2 linked regions of the Kluyveromyces lactis genome follow. The protein of the gene in region 1 interacts with the protein of each later gene in a biochemical or structural test. Links are inferred from orthologs where the notes say so. Each region holds a gene or a part of one and is shown in the gene's direction. Other genes may lie near its edges.

What was found.
Region 2: of the proteins of UBA1 (region 1) and UBC8, one has a biochemical effect on the other in vitro, tested with the Schizosaccharomyces pombe proteins (2 studies listed by BioGRID). The link is inferred for Kluyveromyces lactis from reciprocal best matches to the Schizosaccharomyces pombe genes uba1 and ubc8.

Annotation. Positions count from the first base shown.
Region 1 is NC_006038.1:1,252,843-1,257,040, reverse strand, and holds the start of UBA1 (E1 ubiquitin-activating protein UBA1), read left to right. Parts: upstream 1-1,385; coding exon 1,386-4,198. Other genes in the region: HOC1 (alpha-1,6-mannosyltransferase), read right to left, coding at 1-48; Ran GTPase-binding protein MOG1, read right to left, coding at 258-851.
Region 2 is NC_006037.1:973,210-975,806, reverse strand, and holds UBC8 (E2 ubiquitin-conjugating protein UBC8), read left to right. Parts: upstream 1-1,277; coding exon 1,278-1,282; intron 1,283-1,448; coding exon 1,449-2,052; downstream 2,053-2,597. Other genes in the region: MAK32 (Mak32p), read left to right, coding at 1-21; MAK31 (Mak31p), read right to left, coding at 78-353; HTL1 (Htl1p), read left to right, coding at 731-976.

The DNA of each region.
Region 1 (4,198 bases):
TGCAATGGTGGCTATCCTTCTCCAGTTATTTCTCTTGCCCTTGGCCATCTTCACACGGATAGCGCAAGTTATGAACCACTAATCAACACCAGGGCTCCCGCTCGTAGTGATATACCGTTGAGAGTCTAGCTGATGGAGGAATAAGTATGTATTGTTTATCATTGATAATACCATTTCCATAGTTGAAACACTCATTCTTAAAGAAATTCATTACCCGGATATATAATTTACTATACTTTTACTATACCTGGTTTCGATCATGCAAATAACGATGGATCCTCCACTTTGAAGCTCGAGATCATGTCCCGAAGCAACGAATAGGACGCGTGCACCCTTTGAGGTAGCTTTTCCGGTGAGTTTTGCGCAATTGCCTGTTCCATGGCCTTCAGTTCTTGTTCCGATGAGATAGGCACGTGAACAGAAATGATGACGTCGGTATCGAATTGATCCAACCTGAGCAATGCAACACACATTACTACGGTTTCCTTCATCGATTGTTTGCCCCACTTGTATGCGGTCTCAACAACGATACATGTCTGTGATTTGAGTTCCGTTTGCTCTTGATGGTCAATTACTGTCCATTTCTGTGATCCGTTGAGTTCTGAAATTTCTGCCAAATGGATATCTAACGCTTTTCTGTCATTATTCTCTTCCACACGCTGCATTAGGTCTACGATCACACTTTCATCGAACCCGAGCCCATCCTCACTAGGTTCATTCTCACGTCTGCTATTCACGAACACTTCCTGTGTGTCTGGTACTTGCCTTAGCATTGAAGCATCAAGAAACGTCTTGGGAATGACGGTGCTGATGGCACCGCCGTACAATTCTTGTCTGATCCAATGGGACATGGAAAATTAGATATATAGGGTTGTCAGACTGTGGGTAGAGTAAACAATCGCGCTGTCCTTGCCAGTCGAAGTCTCTCCCTCTCTCTTTATCTCTTGAGAAGGACATCTCGTCTTCAAGGTAAGGGAAAATCAAATATCACATTTGACGAACATTCAAATATTATGTGGTGTGCTGGTGTAAATGCATTTATTGTATGCAATGATGGCTTCAAGCATGCCAAATGGGTTTAAATCAAGTGATTACTGTCTCGTATTAATTAATTATTTACGAAACAATTTATATGGGCTCTTGGAACCATACTATCACCTCAAATGCTTCACTTTCTGTCGTATTGTATTCGAACATCTTCCATTCATATCACGTGACTGAAAACTCAACCACTCACGTGACCGAACCCAAAGTGGCAAAAACCGAATTAATAAGGCCAACAACCTATAAACAACTACAAACCAGTTTCCTTAAAACAACAATAGCAACAAGAAGTGAACCGTTCGTTCATTTTGATCACATTGCATCACAAGTTAGTATCAGATATGACGAATATTAAGGTTGATGGCGAAGAAATTGACGAGAGCTTGTACTCTCGTCAATTGTACGTATTAGGTAAAGAAGCGATGTTAAAGATGCAACATTCGAACGTTTTGATCATTGGGTTAAAAGGTTTAGGTGTCGAGATTGCCAAGAACGTTGTCTTGGCCGGTGTTAAGTCTTTAACCCTTTATGATCCAAGCGCTGTCGCTTTACAGGATCTTTCTACGCAGTTTTTCCTGTCAGAACAAGATATTGGGCAAGCTAGAGATAAAGTATCACAGGCAAAATTAGCCGAATTAAACTCATACGTGCCAGTGAAGGTGCTAGAGGGGCTAGAAGACGTGTCACAATTGTCTGAATTCCAAGTAGTTGTTGTGACAGACACGATTTCACTAGAAGAAAAGGTGAAGTTGAATGAGTATACACACTCTCACGGTATCGGTTTCATTTCTACGGAGACCCGTGGGTTATTTGGTAACGTTTTCGTCGATTTAGGTGAAGAATTTACCGTTATTGATACTACTGGTGAAGAGCCAAAGACAGGTATTGTTTCTGATATCGAGTCGGATGGTACAGTGACCATGTTGGACGATAACAGACATGGGTTAGAAGATGGCAATTACGTCAAATTCTCCGAGGTGGAAGGTCTTGAGAAGTTGAATGATGGTACTCCTTACAAGGTCGAGGTGTTGGGTCCGTTCGCATTCAAGATTGGTTCTGTTAAGGATCTTGGTACATACAAGAAAGGTGGTCTGTTCACCGAGGTCAAGATGCCACAGAAATTAACGTTCAAGTCTTTAAGGGAATCTTTGGCAACACCAGAGTTCCTGTACTCGGATTTCGCCAAATTCGAGACTACTGCACAATTACACTTGGGTTTCCAGGCCCTACATCAGTTCCAAGTTAGACATCAAGGTGAATTGCCAAGGCCATTTTATGAAGAAGATTCTAATGAATTAGTTAAACTCGTTATAGATTTAGCTACACAACAACCTGAAGTGCTGGGTTCTGAGGGGAAAGTTGATGAAAAGCTCATCACAGAACTAGCTAACCAAGCAAGAGGTGATATTCCAGGTATCGTTGCTTTCTTCGGTGGTCTGGTTGCTCAAGAAGTGTTAAAGGCCTCCTCCGGTAAGTTCACTCCTATTAAACAGTACATGTATTTCGATTCCATCGAATCTCTACCAGATTCTGAAGATTTCCCAAGAAATGCAGATACCACGAAACCAATCAACTCTCGTTACGATAACCAAATTTCCGTATTCGGTTTGGAATTCCAAAAGAGAATCGCAAATTTGAAGGTATTCCTAGTGGGTTCAGGTGCGATCGGTTGTGAGATGCTCAAGAATTGGGCTTTACTAGGTTTGGCTTCTGGCCCTGAAGGTAAAATTATTGTTACCGACAATGACTCAATTGAAAAGTCGAATTTGAATCGTCAATTCTTGTTCAGACCAAAGGATGTCGGCAGAAATAAATCTGAAGTTGCTGCTGATGCTGTAAGTGCAATGAATCCTGATTTGAAGGGCAAGATCGAGCCAAAGATTGACAAAGTTGGTGCTGAAACAGAGAATATTTTCAACGATGCTTTTTGGAATCAATTAGACTTCGTTACCAACGCATTGGATAATGTGGATGCTCGTACCTATGTCGACCGTCGTTGTGTGTTCTACAAGAAACCTTTACTAGAATCGGGAACATTGGGGACAAAGGGTAATACACAAGTGGTTATCCCTAACCTGACAGAATCTTATTCATCTTCAAGAGACCCTCCTGAAAAGTCAATCCCATTGTGTACATTGCGTTCATTCCCTAATAAGATTGATCACACTATCGCTTGGGCCAAATCCCTATTCCAAGGCTACTTCTCTGACGCAGCTGAAAATGTTAACCTATACTTGACGCAACCAAACTTCGTAGAACAAACTTTGAAACAAGCCCCAGATGCCAAAGGTATCTTAGAATCAATTAGTGATTGTCTAAACAATAGACCTTACAACTTTGAAGATTGTGTCAAATGGGCAAGATTAGAATTTGAAAAGAAGTTTAGTTATGATATCCAACAGTTTCTTTACAACTTCCCTAAGGATGCAACAACATCCACCGGGGAGCCATTCTGGTCTGGTCCAAAGCGTGCCCCTGAACCATTAGTCTTCAATATCGAAAACCCAGATCACTTCCACTTCATCGTTGCATCTGCTAACTTGCGTGCGTTCAATTATGGTCTAAAGGGAGATGATGGTAAACCAGACATTAACTACTATCAATCCGTCCTATCAAAGCTTATAGTTCCTGAATTTATTCCAAAAGCTGACATCAAAATTCAAACCAATGACGATGAACCAGATCCAAACGCGAACAACCAGCTTGGTGGCGATGTCTTAGAAAACTTGGCAGCTTCTTTGCCAGATGCTTCTACCTTAGCTGGTTTCCAACTAATCCCAGTTGAATTTGAAAAGGATGACGATACAAACCATCATATTGAGTTCATTACTGCTGCATCGAACAACCGTGCTCTAAACTACTCTATCGAACCAGCTGATCGTCAAAAGACTAAGTTCATTGCTGGCCGTATCATTCCTGCCATCGCTACAACCACTGCTTTGGTTACAGGATTGGTCAACCTAGAACTATACAAAGTCGTCGCTGGAAAGACAGATATTGAACAATACAAGAACGGGTTTGTGAATTTAGCTCTTCCATTTTTCGGTTTCTCAGAACCAATCGCATCACAAAAGGGTAAATACAATGATAAGACTTTCGATAAAATATGGGATAGATTCGATATTCAAGGTGATATCACATTAAGAGAGTTGAT
Region 2 (2,597 bases), on another chromosome or scaffold:
CTTCAACCAATGAAATATTAAGTCTGTAGGTACCTATTGGGAACAGTTAGATCAGTTTTTTATTTTAATTTGTATTATCATACGTATTGGGAAGAAATATTCAATTTCAGAGCATTGATAGTGTCGACCAGTTCCCTTCTAACTTTTACGGACCGTACAGAAACAAATGGTACACTTACTAAACCCATCTTCCGTACATGGCCGTCATTATTTTCGACCACTTCATCCAGTAGAAGGTTTGCTTTGCAATCAATAGCGATGAGCTTCCCGGTCAAAGATCGTTTCTGATCCAAGTTTATGTACAAAGTTTCGCTCAGTAAATCGTGTAAGTGTACGTTAGATAAATCTGTCATTAATGTAAATTATGCGAGTGATAATGATAACTGGTTGATGCGTTGCCGTTGCCCAGTTTCTCATCTTTGAGGTAGTTTGCCAGATTTCAATCTCTGCACTAAACTCATTTCATATACTTTTACGTATTTTTTTTTTTTAATGGGAAATCTCTAGTTTTAAACAGATATAAACATCTACATCTGTTCAGATGCTCGTTGAAATCCTCGTTCTTTCTCACTAAGCAACTCAGTATCAACGACTCAGTATCAACGACTCAGTATCCGCTGGAATTGATATCATTTCAGAAAGCTTTACTCGTATTAGCTGCAACCATTGTGTCTTCTGGTTATTTTCGACATCTTGTCAGTGTTTTATCAAAGTATTATCGTATTTCGCAATGACCACCACGCAAGGAACCGAACAACCACAAGATTTGAAAGTCAATCTCAAGACAATCACAGCAGAAGACCTATTGTCTAGAAGAGCTAATATGGTGGAGCTTTTCAACTTGTTGGACGACAGTAGCAGAACCGAATTGTTTCTTGGTTCGTCAGAAGACCGCGAAAAGAAACTGGCTTCTCTGAGGAAAAGGCTTCAATCGGTACAACAAGAAGTTGAGACTTTGAAATCAGAATCAGATTAATAAGACGGGGATGCTATGATACAAGCTGCCCAATTCCGAGAGGTTCTCTTTTGTGCATTGTATTCTATTTTTTTTGCTCTTCCTGTCACGTGACTTCCTGTCTTCTGCCATCATTGAATTTGAAAATTGTGGAAAGTGAACTTCAAAAAGATCCTTTTAAGTTGCTAACCCCTTCAACAAGGAAAGCACTCATCATCTTTTGCTGTTCCAGGCGTTAAGACAACGATAATAGAATCGTTTGGTGCTGATATCGCGTTATTGTATTCGATAGGCACGCTACGGTCAAGCTTATTAATTAAAGATGAGGTATGTTCGTTGAAATGGAGTTTTTTCTTTTTTTTAAGATGCTGTGTCTCAGTATCTTTTATGACTAAAGTTTGAATGATCTGTTCAGAATACTAACTATAATCTTGAATGGCTCGTTACACGATATACTTGTGTATAAACGACAAGTTTACATTTTTGAAATCAGTTCTAATTCAAAAAGGAGGATCGAAACGGACGTCATGAAACTTTTGATGAGTGATCATGACGTTGAGTTGGTTGAAGATAAGATGCAAGAGTTCCATATAAAATTTCATGGTCCCAAGGATACACCGTATGAAAAGGGGGTGTGGAGGTTACACGTTGAGTTACCTGACAACTATCCTTACAAATCGCCCAGTATAGGGTTTGTCAACAAGATATTCCATCCGAACATCGATGCTGCATCCGGGTCGATCTGTTTGGACGTGATCAACTCTACGTGGTCTCCGCTATACGACCTTTTAAACATCGTGGAATGGATGATCCCAGGGTTGTTGAAGGAGCCAAATGGGTCGGACCCTTTGAATAACGAAGCAGCAACGTTGCAACTGAAGGATAAAGATATGTATGAACAAAAGATACATGAATACATCAACAAATACGCTACCAAGGAAAAATACATACAGCAGTTTGGGAAATGGAACAGTTCCGATGATACAGATGATGAGGATGAGGATGCGGATATGGACGAATCAGACGACGAGCAAGCACATGACGATAACGATAGTATGGAACTAAGTGATATAGAAGTCAGTGACGACGACGATTGAAATTTGAAAGTTAAAAGTTAATGCTCATATCCACTTCATCCATCAAAACTAGCATATACTGCATTCACTCCAACTATTGATATCTAAACCTGAACTTCCAATAAAAGAAACTGAGGGACAAAACCTTGGACATAATACCATTTCAAGTAATATATACATGTATATTCAACTGAAAACTGAGAAATTAAAGCCATGAGAGAGGACCTATATCCTCCAGTTATACGGTTAACGTCTGGATGCTGGAATCACCAGTTGCAACTGTGTGCCGCAAATGGAATAACTCGTGTGAGTCACGTGGTTCCCCGCAATTTTCCCATAGTCAGGACATTTTTTTGAAACTTTGAAGGGGCGAAAATGGTACCAATTAGTATGTAAATAGGTAAGTGATAACAACGTTTGAAACTGTCTACCAACCACTCCTATCTTGTTAGGATGTATAAATATTCAGTTTTGTTGCTCTCTCTCCAAATAAATACCTTTAACAAGTAATTGTTATCCTACTAATATTCATCTATATTGTACTGTGACGTTATTCAGATAAATCT